Linked DNA regions of Tribolium castaneum. The protein of the gene in region 1 binds, or shares a complex with, the protein of each later gene. Links are inferred from orthologs where the notes say so. Each region holds a gene or a part of one and is shown in the gene's direction. Other genes may lie near its edges.

Region 1 (4,209 bases):
ATTTTATCGCTTGAAAGATTAATACTTACGACTTCGTCCAGTTCAAGACCGAACTCGAAGCATAAACGCTGGAATTCATCGTCGGCTGGAAATTGCAAATTGGGGCAATAAGGGGGCACAGTGATCAAACAACTTACTGAAAGTGCGCCCAAGGGCTTCGAATAGCAAATTGCGCTTGACACCCACAGTCGGCATTGTATTTTTTATTTACTATCACGTTTTTGTCTAAAAATGAACACGTTTAAAGTGTTTCACAACTGAAAAAACGATGACATGTGCGGGACCTGTCAATGTCAAAAGTTGAGGTTGGGTCAATTGTCAGCATCAGCGATCAGTTTTCGAGAAAAAACGCCAGTTTTTAAGATTATTTAACAATTAGTCTTCGTCAGAACTATAATCGGAACATAATAATGCAAATTTAATTAATTTTTTCCCACAATATTTTTTTTCGCCGGTTGTATTGGCACACCTGTCAATTGCGAGACGTAGCGTTTCTTATAACCTTAAAGTTACTTCGCCCAAACAAACAAAAAATGGGCTCAAAGAAGAAGAAGCGCGTTTCCAGCAGCTCCAGTTCATCAGATTCAAGCAGCGAAAGCTCCGATTCATCACCCGAACGGCGCCCGAAACGTAAAAGCAAGAAAACCGAATCGAAACCTGAGACTGAAGAATCGCCGAAGAAAACCAAAACGAAGGCAAACTCGCATAAAAAACACGAAACTCCGCCTGTGGCAAGTGACGAGGCGAATAAACAGGCAAAAAAGAGGGACAAAAAGCCAACAAATGAGGAAGAAACCGACAGGTATGATTGTTGGTGGTTTTAAGGGAAAATACTAGTTGTGTTTAAAGGAAACGCAAGCGGAGTCCTGTGCCTGAAAATCGGGACAGGCGGGAGAGGGACGATAAGAGGGTCCGGGACGATCGGGGGCGGCATGACGACAGGAGAAACCGCCCCAATGACCACCGTTCTCACGATAACAGGTTCAGAAACCGGCGTCCTGATTACAGAGACAGGGAACGGGATTACAGGAACCGACGGGACGATAACAAAAATTACCACAACCGGGAGCGAAACAGAGAGAACCATCCAAGGCGGCGTAGCAGAAGCGCCTCCTTTGACCACTCGAACGCCCGTTGGGGCCGCGAGTCGGACGACAAAAAATCCGACAAGAAGGAAAAAGACCAGAAGGAAAAGCAAAAACCGAATTTCGGTCTTTCGGGAAAACTTACCGAAGAAACTAACACTTATCGTGGCGTTGTTATAAAATATAGCGAGCCGCCTGAGGCTTGCAAGCCGAAACGTCGGTGGCGGTTGTACCCTTTTAAGGGCGAAAAGGCCCTTCAGACTTTATACATACATCGCGAAAGCGCCTACTTGATTGGGCGCGATCGCAAAGTTGTTGATCTCCCTGTAGATCACCCTTCGTGCTCAAAACAACACGCAGCTTTGCAGTATCGCCTAGTCCCTTTCACGCGTGAGGATGGCACCACTGGTTTGTGGGACAGCTGGTAGTGTGTTGGGTTTTTCATTGTTTTTTTCAGGGAAGAGAATAAGGCCGTATTTGATTGATTTGAACTCGGCTAATGGGACTTTTATCAATAATAAGAAGATAGAGCCGAGTAAATATGTGGAGTTGTTGGAGAAAGACGTGATCAAGTTTGGGTTCAGCTCAAGGGAGTACGTTTTATTGCATGAGAATAGTAAAGATGAGACACAGGATGACGATGTGAAGCAGGAAGAGCCGGCGGTTCAAGTCAAGAGTGAAGAGAATTGAATTTTGTGTATATATTTTAATTTAGCTTAGGTTTCTTTCAATAAAGTAATTTTTTCGATTAAAATTCCCGCTCTTACGATTTAGTTATTCTCTGGGCAGATGGCATCGCAGTGTGCGCGTTATTTTGACATTTGTGTATTTGAGGTTGTGTTCGAAATAAAAACTGTTCAATTGATTATTTCGTTTAATATTTAAACCCGTGAGTGTTTTTCCCCATCATTATGTCGTCTCAAATGAGCACGAAGGAAAAACTCCTTTACATCCTCGACGATATTGAGTTAATCTCCAAGTACGTCCCCCTTTCGGGTCATTTCGTATGGTTTTATTTGCGTTTTTTAGAGAAATAATCGAGAATTCAATCGCCCCCAAGCACCTCAAGCTTTCCGGCCCTGAATACGCTCAACTGACCGAGCTTTTGGTGGCCAAAAACACCGAACTGACTGAAACCCTTAAACTGGCCGCTGAACAGGCGCAAATCGACAAAAAAATGGACATCTTGAAGGCCGAAGTGGAGCGTCAGGACAACGACATTAACAACTTGCAAAAACAGCTCAAAGAGGCCGAGCAAATCCTGGCCACTGCGATTTATCAAGCCAACCAGAAACTCCAGTCCATTTCCCGCGCAAATAAACGGCCGGTCTCGTCCGAGGAACTTATCAAATTTGCGCACAGGATTAGCGCGTCTAATGCGATATGTGCCCCCTTGACGTGGCAACAGGGGGACCCGCGCCGGCCGTACCCCACCGATATTGAGATGCGGTTGGGGCTGCTGGGGCGGCTGATGAGCGATCCAATTAACGGGCATTTGTTGCAACAGCAGAACAGTTTGTCAGATTTACATAGACAGGGGCACCCGGGGGAAATACCCGCCGCGCAACAAAATCAATTTGCATGGCATCCCTCGGGGGAGATTCACATGAGTGTGGGGCAAGGGAGTGTCCCGATGGACACGCGGAACCATAAACAGGAGACCGAGGATGTGGAGGTCATGTCCACGGACTCCAGCAGCAGTTCCTCAAGCGATTCTCAGTAGTTTTGTGTTTTTTCCCTGGACTTGATTCATCATATTTATATAAAAAAATTAAGCGAGTTTGTGTGGAGAGTATACCATGAGGGGAAATAAAATGATAAATCAATAGATTGAGGCGGCTATTTGGGGAAAAAGTCTTGTCTGCTTATCTCATCAATCAACTCTTCGTGACAGTTTAGATAAGATCTTTGTTTGCGTCTGACGAATATTGTTTTCTTATGTTTGTTTATAATGGAAGGAAAATAAAACACATTTCATTGTAATACCAACGTCTATTATTTAATTATTCCCTACAAGCTGAAGTGATTCAAATTTATTGTTTGATGAAATGATAATCACAAAAATGAAGCAGTTTCTCATTTTCTGAAATTTCTAAACAACACTCACTTTCTATAAAAACAAGTTTGTTGTTTTGATTGCGTCTTTATGATAGGTACAAATTTACAAGTAGGTTTTTTGATTTAAATTTTTATCGGATATGTGAGTTTTTTATCACAGGGTCGTAGTGTGATAATTTGAAAATTAAACCGCGTTATTACAGCAGAGCTAGGGCTGAAAAACGAGAGAAAGTCACCGAATATTATCGATATTCTTAACAATGACATTATCGTATCACAGTATCGATAATGATAAGTTTCCAACTGTAATCAATTTTTCGAAATACTTTAACAAACGAGTTATTTATTGTCATTATTACGCGATATGGGTATCAATAAATCAATAACATACAGGCGACTCATTTCCAAGGCTTGATCAACTGGTGGTGCTTGAGCTTAACAATGCACTTTGATTAAACAACGCTTTAATGAATATCGACAATAACTGATTCTTTTTTAACAGCTCTACTCCCATTATTACCATGTGTTAAGGTAGTGGCGATGCACTTATTGTAGAACAGCACAAAGTGTCTCAACTTTCCAAAAATAATAGTACCTTTGCAACAAACGGAATTTCTCTTGTTACCTAATTTACTCAAATATCAAGAAAAATACTCTCATTTGATTCGCCTAGAGCACGTTTTCAAAGGACTGGAAACGTAATGAGAGTGAGCTGGTAGGGCTCAGTACAGCAGACTGTCATTACGTACTTATAAATAATCGGGTTTCTTATACACTTAACTTTACAGATATATACAGTACCACATTTTCCGAACTGTCAATTAATTATTACATGTATTTGCGCACTAAAGTACATTTTGTAGCTAAAGGCGTGTATTTACAAAATATTAAAATAATTTAGTGAAGCTTGGGTCCCGCGTAAAACCAGCGTGGTACCTCTAATGAGCTAATTTAGGATTCCTATAAATATATTATTGTCTTTTGGTAATTATTGACCTGAACGAATGCTATGCACGAGTATTAAGTACAGTAAGTAATGTTTAAAAGAAAATAGTTCCTAGTCAGG
Region 2 (5,116 bases), on another chromosome or scaffold:
TCAATAATTTAATAGTCATTGAAAATATGGTAATTACACAAATTGTCTCCTAAAATTAAGCATGGAATGGTTACAAAAGAATCTCATTATAGGCATCTGTGCGTAAAGTAGTACCACCCAATTCTAGTACAACTTATGTAAAAATACACTTTATACATGATAAAAATTCTGATAAAATTATATTCCACAAACGATAAATTTACAAAATAAGTATAGAGAAAACAACAAAATGCAATAACTGAACAGACACGGTTTATACACGATAGGAATTGAGCCTTTGAGGGAAGCCTAGCCTACGCCATCCGAATGGACTGGATAATCTGGAAAATCGCCGATCCGCACACGACGAAGATGAACAGCGCCAAGATCATGGGCCCCACTGGCGAGTTTTCGCTTTGCTGCTTCTGCAAAAGGGGCACCGTCAGCTCCCCATCAACAAACAATATGGTCCAGCGTACTCACCGACGATTTGGGCACATTCCCTCGCAAGACCACGTTCTTGCTGGCCTTTTCGTTGGCGAAACGCATCCGCTGTTTGGGAGCCATCGTTCACAGGAAAAAAATACGGAAAAGTGGAAATAATTCAACAGAAAAACATACACACGCGTTTTTGACACGTCCGTGCCTCGACACTGGCCCGAAAAGTGCGGAGAGGGGCAAGGGAGGCGCTTTTTTGACGTTTATTTGACACGTAAGATGAAAATGCGCATGCGCCACGGACGCGTGGAGAATTTCAAACAAGGGAGGGAGTGCTAGAAATTTCCAATGGGTTCATTCAATTTGCAATAATTTATGATAATCAAGTATATGCCTAGTTTTCTTGGTCATTTTCCTATCTTCTATGCATTTTTTTCAAACATCAAAAACAACGTTGAATTTGACTTTTTACCCTGATTTTTAACTCAGATTTTTCAAAAAACAAAAATTTTAAGGTGCATTTATTTCGGCACAAATTTTACATAGATATTGTAAAGGTTTCGTTACTTTTTTGTCAGTATTTTATGCGGTAAATTATGGGAACGTCGTTGAAAGTTACGGATCTTCTGGGTGTGTTTGCGGGAGCGATTCGGTTCGTAATTAAGGACAAGCGTCTCAGACTGTTTCTGAAACTATTCATTCTTGAAAAAGTCCTTTCATTCATGGCATTGGCATTAGCCATGTTGTTGAGGAGCTTTAGCGACATTTCAGGGATTTTCAAAGAGTGGACTTCGGGATTATTATCCAGCCAAGTCAATAATTGTTTCATAACTTTCACCTGTTGGTCAGGAGTGACCTAAAGAAGGATAATTGCACGTTTAATTGCAACAATTAAATTGTACCTTTGTTAGGGCTTGTCGAATTAAGAATTCATCTTTCGTCGACATCCAAATAACGGGAGTTCTTTTGCTGCAAAGCCACATGTAGTTTGATTTCCCAAAAATACTTTCCGCACATTTAATTTGTTGAGCGTGCATTAAAATTTGCACCTAGGGAGAAGAAACAAATAAATTAAAACGATTTAAATGAGTGACACCTCACCTGTTCTATGAACTGTGAGTTCATATCGAAATGTGAGACAAAAAGAACTCTTTAAGCGCATAATGAACGAGACGTGCGGTAATAATATTGCCTTTATTAAAAGATAAGCAAACAAATTTTCACGTATGAAGTGGATATGCAAATAAACGAATAGATTCGGGCTGATATGAATTTTATTACAATGTGGCTAGGTATGGAATAATTTAGATTGACGTTGTTTGAGAGTTGATAACATCTTACAACGCACGCAATTATTTATTATCTCTGAGGATTCACCCAGCAAGTCAAAATAATCGAATACGGTTCTGCAGTGTTAGGCGCTTGTATAATGTGTTGCCTAAACATGTAGTCGGCCAAACATAACCTACCGTTATTATCCCATTCAAATAACCACAAAATAATGTTTTCGCCTGAAAAATAACCGTGGACACGATGGGCGAGCCACTAACAAACGTCCTAACCGACATTCTCAAAGTTGAAGGCATCGAAGAAGCCTTTAGTTGCTTTCTAGTGCACCGCCCCAGTGCCGAAAAGGAAAAGGTGGCTGTATGGCAACAAGAGTTGAACACAGCCCTGCGGAGCATCCCCCAGGAGCAGCTAGACACCGCCCTTCGCCAGTACCTCAACACTGCTGTACTATGTTCCCAAAGCAAGCTCCAGCTCTTGATGGAGCTCCTGGAAAGTGTCGTGCGCAACGGTACCATTGGGGCCCGTATCGTGTGTGAGGTGGTGATGAATTTCGATAAACTACAACACACCAATGCGCGGTTCTGGATCGAGTGCTTTAAACTCGTGCGGAAAATTATAGATTTGGTTGAATACAAGGGCGTTCGCGAAATTATGAAAGTAAGTGGGGAATTGTTGTGGTAATTGTTTGATTGTTGATTGTAGGGATGTTGCGAGAAGGCGAAAAGTCTCCCCTGGCGCTTGAACGCGGGCTTGCAGCCCCAAACCCAGGCTCTTTTAAGCGTCGCTGAACGAATCATGGACAGGAACGCGTGCCTCCTGCCTGGCTATCTCCTAGTGAACGAGCTCCAGAAGGCCTACCCTGACTGCCCCCACTGGCGCCTTGCTGCCCTCTTCTCCGATTACGTTGGCAGTTTTCGGGCCTGTGCCCAAATGGTGGCTATCGTAGGCCAGGCGGAAATGCGGCCAGTTGTGGAGCACAGCGGCTGTCCCGAACACTTGGTCAATCCCTGGAAACTTGACCCGTGCACGTTGCGATTCTCGCTTAAGGGCACTTTACCGTACGCTCCCGAATTACTAGAGAAGCAAACCGGTTTATTACGATACGTTCTGGAACAGCCGTACAGTCGCGACATGGTGTGTGGCATGTTAGGGTTGCAGAAACAGCACAAGAGACACTGTGCCGCCCTTGAGGAACAACTGGTCGAGTTGGTGATTTTGGCGCTGGAACGCACGGAAAATGAGGGCGATGAGAGCGCCACTCAAGGGTTATGGCTGCACTTGTCGTCCCAGTTAATTTATTTTGTTCTTTTCCAATTTGCGAGTTTCCCAAACATTGTTATATCGTTGCATTCGAGACTGCAAGGGCGCGACTTGCGGAGAGGGCGCGACCAACTCATGTGGGTCCTCTTGCAGTTTATTTCCGGTTCGATTCAGAAGAACCCCCTCTCGAATTTCCTCCCAGTTTTGCGGCTTTACGAACTGTTGTTTCCGGAACAGGAGCCCCCTTTGCCCGTTCCGGACTTCAACCAGCCCCAGTGTACGAGACAGATGGCAATGACGTGCATTTGGATCCACTTGACTAAGAAAGCGCAAGCCGAAATGACCAACTTGACTTGGCCAATTCCCGCCAAACTACGCAACCATCATGATTTCCTCCAACAGTTGGTGCCCCCTAATAACACCGTGTTAGCGATGGGAAATGACTACAGAATCGCCTTGTTGTGCAACGCCTACTCAACGAACCCCGATTATTACAGTAAGCCAATGGCAGCGCTAGTTGAGACGATCCAAGGGAGCCCCAAATCAACAGCCCCACCTACCGCGCCTTTAAGCATGGCCGTCTTGGACTCATTAACTGTGCATTCGAAAATGAGCTTAATCCATAGTATTGTCACACACGTGATTAAACTAGCACAGGCCAAGTTAGGAATGCCACTATCACCAGCTTTGGTGGAAACGTACAGTCGCCTGTTGGTGTACACCGAGATCGAATCGTTGGGCATCAAAGGGTTCATAAGCCAGTTGTTGCCAACCGTATACAAGTCACACGCTTGGGGCACCCTTTACACACTTCTGGAGATGTTTAGTTATCGGATGCACCACATCCACCCCCACTACCGTGTCCAGTTACTCAGCCACTTGCATTCGTTGGCAGCGGTGCCGCAAGCCAACCAAACCCAACTGCACTTATGTGTCGAATCGACCGCTTTGCGTCTAATCACGGGGCTGGGCAGTGGCGAAGTTCAGCCCGAACTGAGCCGCTTTTTAGCCGAACCCAAGACGTTAATTTCGGCGGAATCGGAAGAGTTGAATCGGGCGCTGGTTTTGACCCTAGCTAGGGCCACGCACGTGACGGGGGCCGACGGCTCGTGGTGTCACGAGTTGCTGGCGACCATTGCACAAAGTACCCCCCATGCGTGGGCCCCCCACACCCTCGAATGCTTCCCCAGGGCTCTGGCCGAGTTTTTCACGCAACATGCCGTCCCTAAAGAAAACAAACAACAATTGAAGAAAGCAGTGGAGGAGGAGTACCGGAAGTGGTCGTCCATGAACAACGAAAATGACATGATGGCGCATTTTGGGGTTGCGGGAGCGCCCCCACTTTTCCTCTGTTTGTTGTGGAAAATGCTCCTCGAGACTGATCACATCACGCCAATTGCCTACAAAATCCTGGAGAGGATTGGGGCAAGGGCGCTTTCGGCCCACTTGAGGAAGTTTTGTGATTGTCTCGTGTTCGAGTTTAGTAACAGTCCTGGGGGGCAACATGTTAACAAATGCGTGGATACGATCAATGACATGATCTGGAAGTACAATATTGTGACAATCGATCGGTTGGTCTTGTGTTTGGCGCTGCGGACGCAGGAAGGGAGCGAGGCTCAAGTCTGTTCGTTCATCATCCAGTTGGTGTTGCTTAAAGCTACAGAGTTTAGGAATCGGGTGCAGGATTTCGTCAAAGACAACTCGCCCGATCATTGGAACCAGACCAACTGGCACGAGAAACACTTGGAGTTTCACCGGAAATACCCCGAGAAGTTTGCCCCCGAGGAACAGTCAAGTGGTTACCACCCCTATTTTGGCAACGTGTGTTTGCGCTTTTTGCCGGTTTTTGATATAGTGGTGCACCGGTTTTTGGAAATACCGCAAGTCACCAAAAGTTTGGAGATTCTGTTAGAACACTTGGGTTGTTTGTACAAGTTTCATGACCGTCCGGTCACTTATTTGTACAACACTTTGCACTATTACGAGACTAGGCTTAGGGACCGTCCACCTTTGAAACGACGGTTGGTGGCTGCTGTCTTAGGGACACTCAAAGACAGTCTTTCGGAGCCCTACCAACTGTACCTCGGACGAGCTGCTGACGAGATGTGGACCCCCGAACTGGACTATTACATACAAGTGGTCAAGCGAG
Region 3 (4,788 bases), on another chromosome or scaffold:
AATAAAAATGCATGTTTTTATTTAAACAGAAACTGGCAATGTGAAAGTTTGGTGCGAAAATTAGTGGTATCGCAATGCGTATAACCACATTGTTTGTTTGTTTCGTTTTGTTGAAAATTCGGTAGGTTCCAAAAGTAGGGTTATGTTGTCACCCGAAAATGACAAAATTTACACTTTTATGAATTTTGTCTCCATCTCTGCCCTTTCAGAGCGTTATGATAGGATATTTAGGGTCGAAATCTCTACCTTTATTATGTGCTATTGCCAGATAAGGACAAAAGTTCAGAAAGTAGGGTTAGGGTGTATTATGATCTCTTCTGAAGTGTTAAATTTTAACTTTAATGTTTTTTGTGTGCTTTCCTGCTCTTCTAGAGCGCTATTAATTATTATTGAACATGTTTAAGGACAGACAAATCTACCTTGAGTCAACGACATAAATTTCAGTGAGATTTATTGAAAAATGCACTTCTCGTGTCAACCTTTTCATGAAAAAGGGTGTTTAAACGTTTATAAAGGGTATGTTAACGTGTGTTGTTAACTTTACCACGTAATAAAACATAAAGTATAACTTGGTAATTTTTTACTTTAACTACTTCTGGATTTTCAAGCTGAAACTTACACCAAACGATTCCTCTGAGTGCCCTGATGACCGTACACTATGAATTTTCTTGTGCAAATTGAAAATAACATTAGAAAAATAATTTTTATTTTCACTCACTTTTTACTTGAATCGCCATTTTTGTTGATTTTAATTTGAGTTTATTTTTTATAATATCACGTTAATTTTTATTATTATAGTGGATCAAAATGTCGTCTTTAGGTTAGACTATTGCCTACTATCGGTTAGGAACAACATGATCTCCAAAAATATAACGTAGTAATGAGCTCCAGAAGGTTTACGTAGATAGGTGCGTTTTTCCCAAAAGTGAGTTTTTTGAGATCGAACCGCAAGTGAGTCACACTGCGAGGAGACTCCCATAGACAGAAGTTGCAAACATAAGGTGCCAGACCGGTGCCAGTTTGGCTGATTGCAAGTATGTCTTTATCATCGATTCGGTGACGACTATTAGTTTCGTAAACTTAATGGATTTAATAAATATCTTTAACATTAAATGTGATCGTGTCATGTTGGGTAAAATTCTTCCATCTGTGCTGTCTGTGCATCCACCTTTTCAAATACAATTAAGAAATTTTCATAATAATTGTATTTGATAAGGTATTGGCATCATTTTGACGTGAGCAAAAATTAAAAAAATATAAAGTAATCGGAATTATTTTAAATTCGCGCCATTTTTAGTACGTGATGATGCGGCTAGATGGCTTCAGCTAGGAATTCATTGCCAACCATTATGTTCCGCTTCTATTAAAGTGTTATTCTAGGGCCACAGCCATTGCCGTCTCGAACTCCAGGCCGTCAGGTTACTAGCTTTTGTTTATTGTGACGTCATCGTAAGAGTCGTGACATTTGTTCGCATCGTTTGAATATATTGTACTTTTTGGTGTTTTTGAGAGTGTTATTAAGTAATTTGTTGTTGTTTACGAATTTGTTGTTTTGTGGTTGCGTTGTAGGGAATGAATTTTGTGTGTTTATAGTCTTGTGTGACGTGATTTTGACAATTATAGGTTAGGATAGTTTTGCATTATTTTTGTTTATAAATTTGGTTTTATTGTTTTTAATCGTTTAATTTGGTAATAAATAAGCAGATAAGGCATATTTCAGTCTCTAAACCTAACATACTTAATCCTATTGCATTCCTAATTTTAGAAAATGCCGAATAAGTGTTGTGTTCCCAATTGTGTGTCTAACATGAATGGTCCTTATGTACCTATGTTTTCCTTTCCCAAACAAGAATCCCTGCGATCATTATGGTCAAGAAAGATACCCCGAACTAATTGGACTGTTACCAAGAACAGTCGTGTTTATGTGAAATATTTTCGGGATGATTTTATAATAAAATATCACGAAGTGACTAGAGATGACGTAAAATTCTTCGTCATATTCTTATACTTTCGATCACACTTTTACGACTAATTTAAAACATATTTAGCGAATAATAACATGTTGCATTCCATAAGAACCTGTGTTAAAACTTGGATAAAACGGTCGTCTTTAAGTCGCGGTTATTCAAAATTTAGGCCCATAAGGAGAATTTTTGTATTAATAGACGTAACTTTAGACGTTTAAGTACGGCTAGATGGTTTAAACTATCAAAAAATATAAACTTTAATATATGTTTTTCGGGTAATAACAAACGGATAAGGTACTTTAAATCACAACGTATGTCACTATAAAAATTATAGTTGACCGTTCGTTGACCACATTTGCAGTATCAGGATTCTTTAGATACACTTTTCCGTCGTTTCTTGCATAAAACGTTGGACGCAACATAGTTAAAATTAATTTTTTGCAAAAATTCAGAAAGTTAGGTTATGATCATTTAGACTCTTACTGTGACGTCACAATGTCAACATGCAGGCCTGGAGTTCGAGACGGCAATGCCACAGCCGACATACCGTCATCGTGGTTAAGGTTATGTTTTTGTAAACAGCGCCAAAAATACAGCAAAATGCAACAACGGGAAGAAAAACAACTCGAATCGTCTCTCGATTCCATAATCCAGCGTGTCAACGACCTAAAATCATCGATAGCTTCAATGATTTACAAGGTGGAGAATGAATATGAGACCCTCAACTGGCCCACATTTTTGGACAATTACGCCCTTATGTCCGGCCAACTCACCTCCCTTTCGAAGGTTTTAAGCCACGACAAATGCCCCACCCTCAGAAATCTCACAGTACTGCCCCTCATGTTGTCCCCCGAGCGGGACGAACAATTGGCCCAAATGACCGAACACAGAGTCACAACCTTCGCCCATGATTTAGTCCCAGATTATCTTCGAACCAAACTAGAACCGTTGGCGGAGAATAAAATGATGCAATTGGAACACAAGGCGTCAACTTTATCGTATGAGAACGCACAGGTATGTTAAAATTTTTGGTAGAGTATGTTTCAACGCAAACTTTCAGAAACAAATTGCTGCGTATCAAAAGGTTGTGTCCCACGTTTGGGAACTGGTGAGTAAAGCGAGGGAGGAGTGGGAAGTTGAGTCTTCCGCCAGGGGAAGTACGCAGCAGAATTCCAGTGTGGCTGATACTCACTCGCTTGTGGCGGCTGTTGGAATGGGGAAGGGACTCAAGATGGGGGCGAACCCTAACGGTCAGCCCAATCCCACGTCGGGAGGGATGATGGTGCCTCCGCAGGGGCGCCCAGGGGGCACTCCCGGGCAAGGACAGATGCCCCCCAGCACGCAAACCATGACGATGAATAAGGCGCCCTCTGCTATTAAGACTAACATCAAAAGTGCCACCCAAATACATCCATATGGACGCTAGTGAAATAGTTTTTAATGTGTACGGAGATATATTTATTTATTAAGATATAATCTTACAAAAATAACTAAATATAACAGTGGAAACAAAGATTAACACTTTGTAGCGTAATGAGTAGATTATAAAAAGCATTAATTTTATAGACTTTGAAACTATACTATCAACAAATGGTTGAAGTGTGGCTGGTCGGAACGGGTGGCTTTTCCAATAAGTACAGCGGAACTTGAACATTTTCACGATGTATGTTAGCACATGCTACGCATTATATAAAATATAAAACATATAACATTTAGAATACTTGGGACCCAGTCAAACAAAAATTAACAACTTAAAAAAATATTTTCTACAACGTAACGCGGGTGACTGGACCCTGTTTACGTATAATACGCATTTAAAAAAATATAACAAACAACAAATAAAATACTCTTGTGCATAAATTGCAACTATTCTATGGTCATATATTTTCCTTACATGGCAAGAGAATTTTCCTAAGTTTTTGTTCCCTATATACAAAGTGGTACAATAAAAGAATTCAACTCTTTATACTCTCTAATTTGTTAATATACTTTTGTTTCTTAAAATACTGACCAACAATTCATAATTATATACAATCTAGGTTCTCTCAATTTTAAAACCAACCTCCAATTGTAATAATTTCTTTCATATTGCACAATTAAATCACCGACAAAACACAACAGTTGAATAAAACGGTTACTTATAAAATAATGTATAAAAGACGTTCCGAAAGGCACCTCCAGTTGCGTCATAATTTAAAGAAACAACAGACGTCAGTCAGTACTTCAACGCAATGGGACTCAACGAAAACAAACAGAGTATTACGTGGGTATGAGATTGTCTATGCGACTACAGCTGCCAATTAATCGGGGGGTAAGTAGCTGAAGAGTTTGAATTTGTTGCGAATGTGTGGCCGAACATCCTCTTTCTGCAAGATGAAATATTGGGTTTTGCCCAAACAATTCAAAATTTGCTTACCATTTGCACAAGATCTTCTAAAAATGGTAACAGTTTCATAAGTTCCGAATCGGTCCTGTCCACGAACCAACTTTCAATAGGTATGCCGTTATTAAGCTTTAAAAAAACTATCAGTAAACTATGCAACCACAAAGACAAAAACTTACATGGTAACCAAAGGCTTGTGGTGAATTATCAATAATGATAGTCTTGGAAAGATCTCTGCCTAGTATCGAAAGATCCTTAATGTAGTTGCCGTTGACACACACGCAATGCTCCCGAAACAGCCGATACTTGATCCACTTCCTTTCCGGATCCAGCAGATTCAATAATTTATCGGCATAAACTCGCTTCGAGGCCGTGAACAAGATCACTTCGAACATTTGAGAAACCTTTTCCATAAATTCGCGGAAATAGGGACGCGTG
Region 4 (4,011 bases), on another chromosome or scaffold:
TCTTGTAGTATAGTACTGGAGCACCTCCAAACCGTTTTGTATGCGTTTCTGGGTACGCACCAAGCTACCAACATAAAAATTATTTATGGGAAAACACCAACTCACAACTTACAATGTTTTATTTCCTGTCAAAACCATAAGAAAATCGACCAAGTAGGCTGGGATAATGTGTAAGAAAAAAACAGCGATGGCGTGGTACCAATAATTCGACTTGATACTACCACCTGGATACCACAAACAAACGCTAAACGGGTTGTCATAGAAATGTTTACGGCCTACTTCAAGCGCCTCCCCCCAACTAATCACATTGTCGTTGTTTGACGTCACGTGGTAGACTTGCACGTCACGTGACGGTCCCGCCCCCTCCTTCCAGCCAATCAGGAGAAGTGAATTAATCGCACTGTCAACTGGTACGATATTTGCCTCCAAATAAGGGTCACAATGCATTGATCGAATCACTCCTTTACCCGCCCCTACCAATAATCCTGTTGGTCCATTTAAATTATCAACCCAACCAGGAATTGGTTCGCGCCAAGCGGCCGTAACAATCGACGGTCGAGTGATAACCAAAGGTAACTTTGATTTGTATTCACTCACCAATTGTTCGGTTAAACATTTAGTATAAGCGTACGTGTTTGGTGATTTTTTTAGTAGTTTTGGAGTTAAAGTTTTTAGCGTTTCGTCGTCCATCCAGGTCACTAGATCTAGGATTTTTCGCGGGTCATGTGGCGCATTGTATAGTTTTTCCTCAAGTTTGACTTCATTGCAATGACAGTATGATGTTGACACATGAATGAAAATTTTCAATTGTTTGAAACAGCACGCCAGATCTAGCAAATTTTTTGTCCCTCCTGTATTCAATAGAACCGCGTTTTTCAACGGTTGGTCAAATCGCACGTTGGCAGCCATGTGAAACACCAATTCGACGTTATCCGTTAAAGTTTTCTCATCATCGTTTGATAGATTTAATTTAGTTTGGGTAATGTCCCCAGAAATGCAGTAAATCTTATTTAGTAATTTTTCGCCGTCGGGTTGGTCACGCAACTTATCGAAGACCTAGCCAAAAAGGCGTGTGATTTAAATTTTGACAAGTGATAGACATACGTACAGGACAATTGATGATATCTTCAAGTCTTTCGTTAGGTTTTTTCCCTTTTTTTGGACGAACTAACAAATAAATTGTTGATAATTGAGGACATGAGCGTAGTAATTTCTCGATTAGTACTTTCCCCATAAAACCAGTGGCGCCCGTGATGAGGATGTGTCGGTTTTTGTAGAATTCCGCAACCGCTGATTTATTGCTCATTGTTGAGAAACCTCAAAAACGATTAAGAATTGATTTATTTGCGTGTTGTGTAACGTGCACGCCACTGGTGAAAAAGTTAGGTAATAGGACAGTGGCGTACAAGGAAATGTCAAACACGATTTCGGCAAATATTTGATTGTGGACACAGCACTTGTGATAAGTAGCCGCGTAACAATACACGAGTTTTTGCACAATTGCTTTAACAAATAGAAAAAAATTTCAAAATAATGCAGTGAACTTTTTATGAATTTCGTCAATTCTCATTAATACATTAATAAAATAATAAGTAATGTGTTTCCATTAAAATTAGCAATGATAAATTACTGATATTTACTAAATTAAACAGTGAATTAATTATTGCATCAAATTTTTTATAAAACAAATGATCGAAAAATGAAGCAAAATCATATAAAAGGGTGACTTTGTTTTTTATTTTAATTATGATTACCAAGAAACTTTAATTTAATTAAAAATTGTAAAAATCGAAAAGCATTTTTTTAATTAATTCTTTACTTAAAAAGGATTTAATAGTAATAATAACTGATAATAATTAAACCGTAATTACAGTAAATTAAAAAGAAATTATGATTTTTAAACATATTTGAGACTAAAAACGCTAATCAGGCGTTAAATAGCTGATTAAATAATTAGAAAATTGTTAAATTAATTAATGAAATAATTAATGATAAGATAATTCAAAATTACAATAAATGAGCCAAAAAAAACGCGATTAAAGTCCTCACTTTAAATTTTTTATTGATCCCGCAAAAGTGAAAAGAAAAAATCTCGACTTACTGAAAGGCAGCAACAAAACAATAAAATTGTTCACACACAAAGCAGCAATGTTTTGTAGACAAAGCCGCAACCCATCCACCTGTTTTCATACAAATACCATTACCATATACCACCACCATGGGAATTTCCATGAAAATTCCTCGTGTTGGGGATCATTATGTTAGTCAGTTATTTTCTTATTGGTGGTCAATTTCCCGCTCAATTAAATAACTGGGCTACTTTCACCAGCGATTGATTTTTCCACACGCTTCTTACAACATGTACCGTTTCGATCCGATTTCTTATTATTGAGAATTGAATTACGCAAGAATAATACTTTCAATAGAAGAACAAGGGAATTTGCCAAGCCTCTAATGGTCGCTTTTCTATTGTTGTTACTTGTGACATTTTAAGTGCACGCTCTTACAACACGAACTTGCATTTATCCTAATTGATTAATTAAAAAAATTCGAATTCGAATCACGCGCCATTTTATGCACAACAAACATGGCTGGGAAAGGTAAGCGTCCTTTAATTAAATTTAGGTAATAAACAAGTTTTAGGCTGGAATTATATGTCAGGGGCTCCGGAAACCGACGATCAGCAAAGACTCCGCTTCCAGATTGAGCTAGAGTTTGTGCAGTGTCTCGGAAATCCTAATTATCTCAACTGTAATGACGTAACCTCACTTTTTCGGGAGGGAAAAAATACAATTTTTTGCGTTTTAGTTCTCGCACAGCGTGGTTATTTTAAGGATAGTACGTTTGTTAACTATTTGAAGTATTTGCTTTATTGGAAGGAGCCCGAATACGCCAAATATTTGAAATATCCAATGTGTTTGTATTTTTTGGATTTGTTGCAATATGAACACTTCCGGAGGGAATTGGTGAATGCTCAGTGTTCGAAATTTATCGACGATCAACAACTTTTATTGTGGCAACACTACACCAGGCGGAGGAGTCGTTTGTTAACCCCTTCGAATGTTAACGGGACAGGTGAACAAAGTATTAACCAGAATAGCCAAAGTAACGGACATTTGAGCAATAAAATCAGCTAGGTAGGGTACAAATGTGATTTTTTGGTGGTTAAGTGAAATAAATTATTTTTTTGTTTAGTTACATAAATCACCAAGATCCCACCAATTGCACCAAAATCCCACCCATTTCCATCCAAATCACAATTGATTGGCTGTCGCTGTAATTAAGGTAAGTTCCTTGTTTTTCCTTAAAAATCGTAAAAAATGCAAAATTTGTAACAAACCTCAAAACCAAAAGTCCCTGAACCCGCCCCGCCAAATTCAAATACAAGTTCCGTTTCTCGACCCAATTGGACTTAACTGTACACGAAATCCGCTCGACTTTCATACACCAAAAGTGTACTTGGCTTACACGATTTGTTTATTAATAATTGTTGACATGGTTCTATTAACAATCAAATCAATCATTTCGTTTCGATGCGTCCAACAATTAAAATGAATTTTTTCAAAATAATTTTTGTCGTTATTGTGATAATTTTGTGTGCTAGTGATGCGAAAATACGCAAGAAAAATACCAAAGGTTTGATTTTGCGGCAAAAAGAAACGAATGCGATTAATTTTCTCAGGTAAAAAAATATTGTATCATACAGGATTTTTATGGAAGTTTGCAGACTGGCGATTATGAGGCTTGTATATGGGGTGGCTACGCGATTGGGTTTTGGCGAACAAATCGCAGTGGCCTTAAATGGGGCTTTTGTGCCTCCGGGGGTTGACGATTACGATTATGGGGGTGATGATTATGGGATTTTGGACAGGGATGACGATTACGACTATTAATTTATTTTGTACAAATGTTTAAATAAAATTATTTTATCTAATCAAAGGCACCATGATTCATTCGTAGTCATAACCAACCATTATTTGTTCGTAGACAGTTGGTTTTTTCACTGAGCAC
Region 5 (3,823 bases), on another chromosome or scaffold:
AAAGGTCGTGTTAACGTGTGTTGTTAAGTTTACCACGTAATAAAACATAAAGCACAACTATTCTATAAAAGCATTTTGCAAAATTCTTATTCATTATTTTCACTATTTTCCCCCTTTCCATTGTACAAACAAGCCGATAATGTGAAATTTTAGTGCAAAAATTAGTGGTATTGCCACAAATTGTGTTAAATTTAAGTCTCCAGAAAATTCGGTTTTAAAAGTAGGGTTATGTTATCATTTGGAAATGTCAAATCTTTCATTTTTTGGATTTTAGTGTCCGTTTCTGCTCTTTTAGAGCGTTTATAACTATTATTCAATATGTTATAGGCAGATAAATCTACCTTTGGGTCAACGACATAAACTTCAGTGTGATTTATTGAAATGTATATAGGGCAAGAATGAACTTTTCGTGTTAAACATTTTGATGAAAAAGGACGTTTAATCGTTTATAAAAGGCATGTTTAGGTGTGTTAAGTTTGCCATATAATAAAACATAAAATACAACAACTTTTCTATAAAAGCATTTTGCAGAACTCTTATTTATTATTTTCACTATTTTCCTCCTTTTATTTGTGCAAACGAGCCGGTGATGTGAAATTTTGGTGTGAAAATTAGTGGTATCGCCACAAATTGTGTTAAATTTAAGTCTCCAGAAAATTCGGTTTTAAAAGTAGGGTTATGTTATCATTTGGAAATGTCAAATCATTCATTTTTTGGATTTTAGTGTCCGTTTCTGCTCTTTTAGAGCGTTTATAACTATTATTCAATATGTTATAGGCAGATAAATCTACCTTTGAGTCAACGACATAAACTTCAGTGTGATTTATTGAAATGTATATAGGGCAAGAATGAACTTTTCGTGTTAAACATTTTGATGAAAAAGGACGTTTAATCGTTTATAAAAGGCATGTATAGGTGTGTTAAGTTTGCCATATAATAAAACATAAAATACAACAACTTTTCTATAAAAGCATTTTGCAGAACTCTTATTTATTATTTTCACTATTTTCCTCCTTTTATTTGTGCAAACGAGCCGTTGATGTGAAATTTTGGTGTGAAAATTACTGGTATCGCCACAAATTGTGTTAAATTTAAGTCTCCAGAAAATTCGGTTTTAAAAGTAGGGTTATGTTATCATTTGGAAATGTCAAATCTTTCATTTTTATGGATTTTGTGTCTGTTTCTGCTCTTTTAGAGCGTTATTAATTACTATTGAATATGTTATGGACAGATAAATTTACCTTTGAGTCAACGACATAAACTTCAGTATGATTTATTGAAATGTATAAAGGGCAAAAATGAACTTTACGTCTTAAACATTTTGATGAAAAAGGGCGTTTAATCGTTTATAAAGGGCATGTTAAGGTGTGTTAAGTTTACCACGTAATAAAACATAAAGTACAACAACTTTTCTATAAAAGCATTTTGCAAAATTCTTATTCGTTATTTTTACTATTTTCCTCATTTCCTGTAATAACTGATTCGCCCTTCGGAGGCCATTCTGAATACTGTAATGAATTTTTAAAGATAAAATTTGCGAAATCGGAAAATTTTAAAGAATCTTTAAAAATTCATTAAGGTCCCAAGGGGTGTTTGTCCGAACATGATTTTTAACAGTCAAAGGCCCTATCGAAGAGCTTAATCTCCTGCAAAAATAAAGAAAATTGCATATAAAGGGGGTGAAAAAAAATCAGTTTGCATTGCTTGAATATGAGAATAAAAAATGCAGAAATTAAATACAGTTAAGTTTTAATTTGTAATAGAAACTCATTACAATGGTCAGGAGATGTTCTACAAATGTGTTATGCAAGTCAGCGTAACAACTTATTGATGTTTTTATAATGAATTACGATTATTTTGATAATTTTCCTGGTGTGAACTTGGCTGTAGAAAACGAGAATGGTGGGGAAACGGTGCTAGCTCCATGCGCGCAGCCCTTGTCTGGTCGACTGTAATTTTCATGGTGCCACCACCATTTTTGGGGCTGTCTCCGCCGACATACACTGACAACTTACACTTCAATCAAAACATAACCTCCAAAAACTGTGATAATCTTCAGTAATTGTCGGAAATAGGCCGTTTTCCGCAAAGTGATTGTCACTGTTACAGAAATGGGGACTCCTGGCACGGCCATCGACTCCCTAAACGCCGCCCTCAAATGCAACATAATCCCCAACCAGGAGTACCTCCTCCAGGGCTCAGTCTTGGACCAATACGTCGAGGTGCTCCTCCACCGCTTGCGCGGGCTGTGCGACAACGTAGACAGCGGCCCTGAGTCGTTCCACGACCACGAATTGTGTTTCACCCTCCGGGCCACCAACCCAGGGGCCCCCATGGTGCTCCCACTGCGAGTCCGGCGAGCCCTCGACGTGCCCGACGCCGCCTGGCAGCTGCGCTACGTGGGGCAACAGGAGCTAGGCGACAAGAACCGGCCAACAGTCGTCAGATCGAGTATTGACATGGCTTGCAGTTCCACAATTGTTGAATTTTTGACCGAGCTTGGATGCAGAGTGGATTTTGAGTACATCGCCCGGGGGTACATGTTCCGCAAAGGCAGGATGAAAATCACAGTGTCGAAGATTTTCAAAATGGGGAGCATGACGAGTAAGCCGGGCGAAGGCGTAGAAGCGATTTCCCAGAGTTATTTAGTTGAATTGTCCGTTTTGGCCCCGAGTGGACAAGATGCTATTGCGGAGGATATGAGAATTTTTGCCGAGCAGTTGAGGCCGTTGGTTCAGCTTGAAAAAATCGATTATAAAAGACTTGGAAATTTACCGTAATTTATTTATAAATAAAATACAATTAAGATTTAACTAACAACAATCTATATAGCCTTGAAAAATCCTTAAAAAATATTGCCAAACCTTTCCCTAAAACCCTGAATATGTCTTTTTATACTTTTTTAAATAAAAAAGTTAGGGGGTGTCTACTAAAGTGATGACACCTGGTATTTTAACTACTTTCCCAAACTTTGACTGATATCTTAAAAACTAACAGCAATCTACACAGCCTTGAAAAATCCTTAATAAAATATTGCTTAACCATTCCCTAAAACCCTGAATATGTCTTTTTATACTTTTTTAAATAAAAAAGTTAGGGGGTGTCTACCAAAGTGATGACACCTGGTATTTTAACTACTTTCCCAAACATTGACTGATATCTTAAAAACTAACAGCAATCTACACAGCCTTGAAAAATCCTTAAAAAAATATTGCTAAACCTTTCCCTAAAACCCTGAATATGTCTTTTTATACTTTTTTAAATAAAAAAGTTAGGGGGTGTCTACCAAAGTGATGACACCTGGTATTTTAACTACTTTCCCAGACTTTGACTGATATCTTAAAAATTAACAGCAATCTACACAGCCTTGAAAAATCCTTAAAAAAATATTGCTAAACCTTTCTCTAAAACCCCGAATATGTCTTTTTATACTTTTTTAAATATAAAAGTTAGGGGGTGTCTACCAAAGTGATGACACCTGATATTTTAACTACTTTCCCAAACTTTGACTGATATCTTAAAAATTAACAGCAATCTACACAGCCTTGAAAAATCCTTAAAAAAATATTGCTAAACCTTTCCCTAAAACCCTGAATATGTCTTTTTATACTTTTTTAAATAAAAAAGTTAGGGGGTGTCTACCAAAGTGATGACACCTGGTATTTTAACTACTTTCCCAAACTTTGACTGATATCTTAAAAATTAACAGCAATCTACACAGCCTTGAAAAATCCTTAAAAAAATATTGCTAAACCTTTCCCTAAAACCCCGAATATGTCTTTTTATACTTTTTTAAATAAAAAAGTTAGGGGGTGTCTACTAA
Region 6 (4,545 bases), on another chromosome or scaffold:
CAAGCGAAAATTACATAAATCTTTGGCTACTTTGTTTTAGTAAATTTTACGGGAGAAACGCAATTATTTTGTAAATTTTTGTTATAAACAAACCGAAAAATTCCAGAATTTGGTTGTGTTTAAAGACACTTTTTTTACGAAAAGCTCACCAAACCTGGCTGAAACATTTACTAAATGTGATCCAAATTTATGTTATTTTGGATTATTTCTCTCACTTTAGTGTATGATTAACCAAATGATACTCATTTTGTTTTGCCATAAACATGTTTAAAAATAACAAAAACACATCGAATTGATGGTATTTTATTTTTTTCACGTGATTTAGCTTGTTTTTGAACGAAATTGTGTCAAAAATAAGCCAGAACAACAACTAAAAATGTGTTGTATGTTATTTTTACCCCTTCCGAAAGTTTTAGCAAGTTTTTGAATTAAATTTTGCTGAGAAATCACCAAATTAGGACGAACAGGGTATTATTTTTGCCATAGTTGCACGTATTTAAGTACATTTTTGTTTTTTTTTGTGAAAAATCACCAAAATTGGATCGAAATTGTCATTTTTACTTATTTCGGTAATCCGTTTTTAGACCAGATAGCCTTATTTGTTTTGTAAGATCTTGTCAAGATATATCTAGAAGACGCAAAAATAAATGCAAATTAATGGTATTTTGCCTGTTTCACTCATTTTTCTTCATTTTGATCAGAATTTAATCGAAAATACGTATTTTTTTATCGAAGTGTTATCTTTGCCTTTTTTGAGCGCCTCAGCAGGTTTATGTAGTCAAAAACGCTATTATTTCGGTAAAAACAAATCGAAAAATGACAAAATTAAACCGAAAATTGTGTTAATTCTGCCTTTATCTGGCGTTTAAGCACAGCTTGCAAAAAATAGCTGAAAATATCCAAATTTTACCGAAATTCATTTATTTATTTAAAATTGTTTGTATCTATTTAGTTCGTGTTTGAATTAGATACTGTTTTATTTTGCATGAAGTCATCAGAATTTGCCTAAAAATCATAATCACGCATCCGAGTTTATGATATTATTTATTTCAAGTGATATAGCTCAAAGTGCTTGAGTCAAAAATAAGCCAGAAAAACAAAACAAAAAACTGTTATTTTTAATCTCTTCGATGGTTTAAGCAAGTTTTTGAACTGTGTTTTACCGAAACTGACCGAGAAATCAACAAGTTAAACAATCTTACTTGAGTTAGTTCGTTTTTGAGCGAAATTTTCATTCGTTTAAGCAAGTTTTTTTTAAGTATTTTTTTTAACTAACCAAAAACTCAACAAACTAAATGGAGAATTATATTATTTTACCAAAATTTCATTAAAAAACAAAACGAATAATCGCCAAATCAGGCCGAAAGTGGCGTTATTTTTGCCTTCTTCATGAGTATATTGTTTTAGGCAAGTAATTAGATCGAAATTGGTATTATAGCTTATTTCGAATGATTAATTTCGTTTTAAGACCTAAAACTTATTTGTTTTGTAAAATTTTGATCAAACACGTCAAAAAATCACAAAATAACTTGAAATTTCATAGTATTTTGGCTGTTTTACTCAATTTTGTTCATTGCGATCGAAATTTTGTCAAAATTACGCCAAACTAAAACAAAAAATTTTAACGAAGATTTATCTTTTTTAATTAAAAATCTCAGATATATTGTGAAATGTCACTAACAACCTGAAAACCATCATGTAATCAAAAATTACATGTCTCAGTAAGTTTTGCAATCAGGAACGCAATTTTTTGTCCAAAACAATTCGAAATATCACAAAATTATGCTGTTATTTGTTGCCTTTTTTGCATAGTTGGGCACATTTTTGAGCTAAAAACCCAAGATTTTTGTAAAACTGCTAAAACTTTTCCGGCTCCAATCTTTGTATTTTAAAGTAATTTCTTTATTGTGGTTAGCAGGCCTGACCCGCTTTCGATAAAATTTCACAAATTTGTTGATTTATTTGTTCACTTACGATTTTTTCCTGATTTTCCCGTTAAAGGGGCGTCTTGAGAAGAAGCGTAAGCGAAAACGCGACGAGAGCCCGATGGGCCCCCCGGACAAGGTGCCCCCGAAGCAGGACCCCCTCACCAAACCGGTCACCGTCAGCATAAAACCGGCCGAGTCTCCGCCCCTCAACATGAGCACCCCAACAAGCCCCAGCATGATGCGAAAATTCAACGCTTCGCCCACTCAAAATCGCAATATTTCCATGAGTGGTAAACTAAGCCCCAACCTAATGAAACCCACTCTCAAAACGGGCTCATCGCATCACAGTCCTAAACACTCCCCAGCCCATGTTCCCAGTAGTCCTAAACACATAATTCCCGGTATTTCGAGTCCTAAAAGCCACGGTACTTCCCCCAAACACCCTTCGACGAGTGGTTCCGGTAAACCGAGCATGTCCACATTGAAAAGTGCCGCGAACTCACCGAAAAATTCCGATTCTAAGACGAAATCCACCTCGAAGGATTCGTCCAGAGACAAGGAGAAAAAAATTTCGGGTGTGTTTAACGTTGCGTCGAAAAATAAATCATCAGTGAAAGTGAAACCGTTGGACTTGAATACTGAAAATTTGAGCGGGGTTCAGGACGGGTTACCGTCACCCAGTTCCACGGACTTGTCAAAATCAGCGACTTCGAATCAAGTGAGGAACCGAAAAGGCTCACTGTCTGCCATTGTCGATAAGTTAAAGTCGGCCCAACATTGCGATGGAGTCACCGATTTGAGTAGCAAGGGGGCTAGTAGTGGAGGAAACAAAGACAGAAGTGGGCAAGTTTCAACGAAACTAAACGAGGGAAAAAGTGGGAAAATCGGTGAAACGAAAAATTCGGAATATATGGTTAAGCCCAGTTCGGACGGCATGAAAATCACAATAAATAAAACCAGAAGTAAAGAAAGTAAAACAAGTGTGAGTAAATCAGGCTCAGGGTCGCCCAAAACTCACACGGGGTTAAAACCGGGGGTTAACAGCGGCCCTGCGTCGAAAAAACCCCAACATTTGGGGCAAAAACTTGTAAATTCGACAAGTGGCCCCAATTATTCAAGTTTGAAGAGTAAAGCCCCTTCGGGGGCTAAACTATCAAGCGGGCCTTCGAAACTAACAAAACTGAGTAATTCACCGAAAAGTGCGACCGATTTGAGCCGAAAAGACCGCCCAAAACTGAACAAAAGCAGTTCAGAGAAGTCGATTTTCACGTCGAAGGATGGCCGAAAATCGAGTCCGACTTCAAACAGGGACGAGAGTGACGGTATTTACAAGATGTCGAAAATGGATCATTATAACCCACCTTCGATTGTCGAGGGTTTAATGACAGTGCGTCAATTAGACAAAAATTTCCAAATACCGAAACTATCGGCACGTGCATCAGTCGACGACAAAAAACCGAAAGTAAGTTCGGATAATTTAAACAACATCAATCGGACTGTCGATACGAAAATCTTCGATATGATGAACAAGTCGGACCTCAAATACCCCCTCGCCCTCCCTCAAAAAACCTTCGACAATGCGGTCGATGTCAAATTGAGGAACAACGTCACGCCCCTCCCTAGCTCTAGTCCAAAACTGAAAGACGAAGACGATAAAAAGGACCAACCCCAGAACCTCGCCCAGACCAAGGACGACTCCGCCTATAAAGTGAATTATCCAATCGCGGTGTCCAAATCGGTGCTCCCGCCCATTTCCGAACCCCTCAACCTCTACACGAAGAGCATCGATTTGACGTCGAAGTTCGTGGCGCCCGCCCCCAAAGACGATAAAAAGGACGTGAAGAAGAACGACGATGTGCTTTTAGACTTTTCGGCGGCCGGAAAAATCGATAAGGGTGCAGCCGTGGTTACGTTTCCCCAATCGCCTTCGGTTAGTGTTCATATAGTTAAGTCACCGGCGCCGTCGCCGTTGATCGCACCAAGTCCACATTCGGCCTCGCCGTGTATCACTGACGATGAGTTGATGGACGAGGCGGTGATAGGTATAGGAAAATAGGACACGGCCGGTAAGGTAGGGCACGACCTAATCTCAAATTCGGTGTAAATAGGGAGGTTAGGTCTGCGAGTTTGTGCGCGCGCCTCGTATATACAGTGCGATTGGTTGAGTGTGATCTGCGTCTTCCAGTTGAATTTTTAAAACGAAAAGAGAAAACAACCGAATTAAGCAATTCCTTAAACAATTCAGATTTGTGTTGCCTAGGGTGACCAGATTGGCCTTAACAAAAAACATGTGTACTATATTATTCAAATAAAAGAAATATCAAAATTGTTTATACCAAAGAAAATAATTATAAAACACAATCTACAGTTAGGTTGGCATTACCATAAATAATAGCCGTGCAGTTTGTTAGTGTCCATTATGTGCAAGTAACGTAGTCTTGGCTAGAGTTCCTATATAGGAACTCTAATTTTCACCACAATGATTTTTTAAATAAAAAACCAGATATAGTATTTTTATAGTATTTGTTTTAATTAAGGTTGGTGCAATTTTTTCCCTGGCAAAAAAACAGTTTAAAATTTTTTTTTTAAATAATTTTGGATGTCGTTCCACAACGGG
Region 7 (3,720 bases), on another chromosome or scaffold:
ATTGTATTTGATAAGGTATTGGCATCATTTTGACGTGAGCAAAAATTAAAAAAATATAAAGTAATCGGAATTATTTTAAATTCGCGCCATTTTTAGTACGTGATGATGCGGCTAGATGGCTTCAGCTAGGAATTCATTGCCAACCATTATGTTCCGCTTCTATAAGTGTTATTCTAGGTTTTGTTTTCTCTGTCGTGGTATTGGTGAACCTATAGATCGCGCCACTTTTGACGTGAATAAATAACTACACAGTATGTTTTGAGATGTATTTATCAATTCGTAAAATAACATTTAACAACATGAAATCATATGTCAGACTATTAAGAAGGTAAACATGGAGATTCCTTGTCTTCAGCAAGTTCCATCAAACTGGACTTGATTTCTTTGCTAATCTCTTCTGCTTCTGGCACCTCAGATATAACCCATGTGTCATCGGTACTTTCCAGTTTTTCTCTACAAATCGGGCACGTGTCATGAGTGGCATTCCTTAAAAAAATCTAACAGTTACTTGAATAACAAAAGTATCATAGTTGATTTTTAATAACATTTTTTTCCGATTTCTGATCAAGTTCAAAAAAACAAACCATTCCTCAATGCACGGCAAGCAGTAACTGTGCATACAGGGCAAAATAACTTCATGCTTCCTTTCTAAACAAATGCAACATTCTTTTGTGTTCTCTGCAGGACTGTCCGTAATATCGTGAACCACTTGTGAGACGGACATTCCACTAATAAAAAGTTAAATCAGTAAAAAACTTTAGCTCAACAGTCATACTTTCGGCTCTGTTCTTCAGCTGAAGACTGACATTTAAGTGTCTTGAACACTTTTAAAAACTCATAAAGGTTTAACAGTCGGTACGTACTCACTTTTTGAGTATTAGAGTCAATTTTAACACAAGCTATTTGCACCGTAGCTTTCCAGAAAACTGTAGAATCTGTCCCTTTCTTTACAGCAAACACTAACTGTTTCCCCTCGGAATCTAAACGCTGTTTGGAGCTAAAATAGTACAATGAATAACAACCACACAGGAACTGTTATTACAGTTGGTTGAGTTCCCCAAGTATTGTCAAAAATTTCTCGTAACTAAGAGTATGAATTTCTTCAGAGAGTAAAGTAAGCACGGGCTCATCCGTGATTATATCGTTAAAATACTCGTGAAATTGGGAACTCTGTTGTCCCATTATTACACGAATTAATCACATGTATTATTGTAAACAATTTTGACAAGTGTCACAATGACGTCTATAATGGCGTCCTCTATACAGGAGTAAAGGGAATTAATAAAACAATTAACGATCGACAAGGTTTTATTTGCTGATCATGCCTTATTGTAATAAAAAACTTAATTTATTGGGGCGCTTTTCCTCTCCCAAAGCCTCCTCTCTGTAACAAACCGTGGTAAAAATCGTCAAAAACCCCTACCATAACTTACAAATTCCAAATCAGCGGTGCCAGCCCCCACATCAGCCTTCTTATCAGATCCAGGCCCCCCGGGAGTCCGCCTGTATCCGGCACGGTCTTCGGCAGGCTTACTGGAAGTTTCTGATTTGAATGGCGTGGGACGAGCACGCGTTGTTTCGGTCCTAGCTTGTCGCTTGAGCGTTGAGGGCACAATTTCAGGCGGCAAATGCAAAATGGTCCTCAGGTACTCAATACCGTTATTTGTCAAATACCAGTAATAGTGCCGCCAGGCGAATTGTTCCTTAACGTATCCCTTCGATTTCAAAGACTGCAAAGCTTTGATCACCTGCAAGTTGGGAATACTTTCCAATTCGGGGTGTTTAGGGGCATGGGTGTCTTTCTTAGCCACCATGACGCCCTCCTTGAAGAGGTATTCATAGATCGCGATCCGGTTCTTTTTGGGCATCAACATCCTAAAATCAACCGTGGTTGAGGTTATAAAACATGTCAAACCCTAACGTGAATTAAACTCCACAAAAAGGGCTAAGATTCACGATAAAGGAAAAAAGAATGATCTGTGATTGATTTTCGTCAAATTTATTACAAAGATGATTAAGATAAATACGAATTTTAAAAAATAGCTTACTTGACGCGGTATTACCACAGCTGTCAAACTGAAAAAGGAACAGGCTTGCCAATAAACTAGTAATTTTAGGTTTTTGTGATGGTTTTTATGTAATTTTGACATTTGTCGTTTGTCAACAACTGTATTTTTCTTAATTATTGTATTAAAATAAATAATGGCATCGTCGGAAGCGATCCAGGTGAGTTCCCTGCCACTGCCCCCCATGCAGTACATCAACCACTACACGGACGAGATGATCCGGCGGGGGCGAACCCCCAGGCCGCCGCCTCCGATTCAAGACACGTATCATATGTTCGGCAATGCCTTCAATACCGAAGAGAGCATAATCAGGCCTTTGGAGAGTCAAGTAAGTCCCTAAATACGTCCCGTGGTTAAAACTAATAATTTTATTAGGGAATCAAACGTTTGTATCCACTCCACTTTGATAGACGAAGGGAGTTGAAAAAATTAAATCAGTCATTGTTGGCCAATTTCTTGGACTTGCTAGACCTACTTGTGAATTGTCCCGACTCGCCAAAGCGGGCTGAGAAAGTCGAAGATTTAAGTCTGTTATTTATTCACATTCACCACTTGTTGAACGAATTCCGGCCACATCAGGCTAGGGAGACGCTTAGGGTCATGATGGAGTTGCAAAGGCGACAAAGGATTGAGACCGCCAATAGGTTCCAGAAGCATTTAGACAAAGTTATGGAAATTTTGCAACAAGCGATTCAAAACCTGCCTGAACCCATGGAAGTTGACTCAAAGTTGCTCGTAGAAACCGAACTTTTAGTAAACCAAGAGAAGGCTTCAAAGGAGGACAACAAATCAGACCCGTGCTTTATTTTGGATAGGATTATGTGCAAGATTGTGGATGATATGCAATAAAGTTAGTTTTCCAAATGTTTTATTGAACTCTAAGACAATAGAAAACATATTCTGTTAAATTTCTAGAGGTTTTACACAAACTATTAAAACCAGCACACGTTTTAACTTGAACTAATTAAAAAAAATAAGATCTAGGGTATTTACAACACAAGCGGGTTGTGTATTGTTTTGATAACTTACTAATAAGCATTGAACATAATGATTTGAATTGCATTTCTGCAATACTGTTAGAAGGGTGATTGAAATTAATTTCTCCAATTTCTGCCCCTTCCTCGGGAGCCACGGCCTCTCGACCTGTTACCTCGTGAACCCCCACGATCTGAAACCAATCATTAAAACAAATAGACATTTTTCCCATAAAATTTACCGTATTGGAAGTTATTACTAAACTTTCCACTAGGTGGTGTATACAATTTAACGTTGTCGCCCGAACGAGCCGGTCGGGTCTGTTTAGTCCCTGTAGAGCCATTATCGAACGTGATAGGCACATGTCTTTTTTGCCCACTTGTGGCCGGTTTCCTCTGCAAATTTTAATTTTAAAGACTAGAAGACTAAATCGAAAATCCCACCAATTCCTTTTCCACAACCTCCTGCTTGAAAGAAAGCGTGACGTTACATTTGTACATTGGGGGCTGGTAGAACAAGTCTTTGATCAAAACGTTGATGTTGTTGAGTAGCGAGGGCGCAATTTTGGCTTTTGAAGCGTTCACGGAATCTAGGCCTGTGATCGGCTTCGAGTTCAGAACTTTGTTGCAACCTTGCACTCCTCTAGAAAAATAAACCAGTCTTGCTCTGAAATCTTTCA

What was found.
Region 2: MED4 (region 1) and MED23 share a complex: the UniProt entries of both Drosophila melanogaster proteins name them as parts of the mediator complex. The link is inferred for Tribolium castaneum from reciprocal best matches to the Drosophila melanogaster genes MED4 and MED23.
Region 3: MED4 (region 1) and MED8 share a complex: the UniProt entries of both Drosophila melanogaster proteins name them as parts of the mediator complex. The link is inferred for Tribolium castaneum from reciprocal best matches to the Drosophila melanogaster genes MED4 and MED8.
Region 4: MED4 (region 1) and MED31 share a complex: the UniProt entries of both Drosophila melanogaster proteins name them as parts of the mediator complex. The link is inferred for Tribolium castaneum from reciprocal best matches to the Drosophila melanogaster genes MED4 and MED31.
Region 5: MED4 (region 1) and MED18 share a complex: the UniProt entries of both Drosophila melanogaster proteins name them as parts of the mediator complex. The link is inferred for Tribolium castaneum from reciprocal best matches to the Drosophila melanogaster genes MED4 and MED18.
Region 6: MED4 (region 1) and MED1 share a complex: the UniProt entries of both Drosophila melanogaster proteins name them as parts of the mediator complex. The link is inferred for Tribolium castaneum from reciprocal best matches to the Drosophila melanogaster genes MED4 and MED1.
Region 7: MED4 (region 1) and MED7 share a complex: the UniProt entries of both Drosophila melanogaster proteins name them as parts of the mediator complex. The link is inferred for Tribolium castaneum from reciprocal best matches to the Drosophila melanogaster genes MED4 and MED7.

The regions. Positions count from the first base shown.
Region 1 is NC_087397.1:1,783,708-1,787,916, reverse strand, and holds MED4 (mediator of RNA polymerase II transcription subunit 4), read left to right. Parts: upstream 1-1,874; 5' UTR 1,875-1,996; coding exon 1,997-2,064; intron 2,065-2,114; coding exon 2,115-2,808; 3' UTR 2,809-3,070; downstream 3,071-4,209. Other genes in the region: beta-PheRS (phenylalanine--tRNA ligase beta subunit), read right to left, coding at 30-85, 138-195; uncharacterized protein LOC661495, read left to right, coding at 534-802, 850-1,493, 1,543-1,775. UniProt on the Drosophila melanogaster protein: Component of the Mediator complex, a coactivator involved in the regulated transcription of nearly all RNA polymerase II-dependent genes.
Region 2 is NC_087394.1:35,203,439-35,208,554, reverse strand, and holds the start of MED23 (mediator of RNA polymerase II transcription subunit 23), read left to right. Parts: upstream 1-1,950; coding exon 1,951-2,364; exon of another isoform or gene 2,365-2,409; coding exon 2,410-5,116. Other genes in the region: stress-associated endoplasmic reticulum protein 2, read right to left, coding at 294-404, 463-546. UniProt on the Drosophila melanogaster protein: Component of the Mediator complex, a coactivator involved in the regulated transcription of nearly all RNA polymerase II-dependent genes.
Region 3 is NC_087396.1:15,800,645-15,805,432, reverse strand, and holds MED8 (mediator of RNA polymerase II transcription subunit 8), read left to right. Parts: upstream 1-1,378; 5' UTR 1,379-2,462; coding exon 2,463-2,981; intron 2,982-3,027; coding exon 3,028-3,393; 3' UTR 3,394-3,486; downstream 3,487-4,788. Other genes in the region: CTD small phosphatase-like protein 2, read right to left, coding at 4,268-4,333, 4,384-4,479, 4,530-4,788. UniProt on the Drosophila melanogaster protein: Component of the Mediator complex, a coactivator involved in the regulated transcription of nearly all RNA polymerase II-dependent genes.
Region 4 is NC_087401.1:17,494,429-17,498,439, forward strand, and holds MED31 (mediator of RNA polymerase II transcription subunit 31), read left to right. Parts: upstream 1-2,148; 5' UTR 2,149-2,587; coding exon 2,588-2,600; intron 2,601-2,643; coding exon 2,644-2,751; intron 2,752-2,808; coding exon 2,809-3,137; 3' UTR 3,138-3,194; downstream 3,195-4,011. Other genes in the region: uncharacterized protein LOC656943, read right to left, coding at 1-64, 113-1,056, 1,109-1,317. UniProt on the Drosophila melanogaster protein: Component of the Mediator complex, a coactivator involved in the regulated transcription of nearly all RNA polymerase II-dependent genes.
Region 5 is NC_087394.1:9,285,818-9,289,640, forward strand, and holds MED18 (mediator of RNA polymerase II transcription subunit 18), read left to right. Parts: upstream 1-1,900; 5' UTR 1,901-2,058; intron 2,059-2,109; 5' UTR 2,110-2,111; coding exon 2,112-2,780; 3' UTR 2,781-2,813; downstream 2,814-3,823. UniProt on the Drosophila melanogaster protein: Component of the Mediator complex, a coactivator involved in the regulated transcription of nearly all RNA polymerase II-dependent genes.
Region 6 is NC_087399.1:8,910,291-8,914,835, reverse strand, and holds part of MED1 (mediator of RNA polymerase II transcription subunit 1), read left to right. Parts: intron 1-2,001; coding exon 2,002-3,984; 3' UTR 3,985-4,545. UniProt on the Drosophila melanogaster protein: Component of the Mediator complex, a coactivator involved in the regulated transcription of nearly all RNA polymerase II-dependent genes.
Region 7 is NC_087402.1:3,009,376-3,013,095, reverse strand, and holds MED7 (mediator of RNA polymerase II transcription subunit 7), read left to right. Parts: upstream 1-2,202; coding exon 2,203-2,394; intron 2,395-2,441; coding exon 2,442-2,915; 3' UTR 2,916-2,930; downstream 2,931-3,720. Other genes in the region: RING finger protein 141, read right to left, coding at 321-486, 585-728, 776-997, 1,043-1,182; small ribosomal subunit protein eS10, read right to left, coding at 1,349-1,384, 1,434-1,874; cass (apoptosis inhibitor 5), read right to left, coding at 3,161-3,234, 3,283-3,436, 3,485-3,720. UniProt on the Drosophila melanogaster protein: Component of the Mediator complex, a coactivator involved in the regulated transcription of nearly all RNA polymerase II-dependent genes.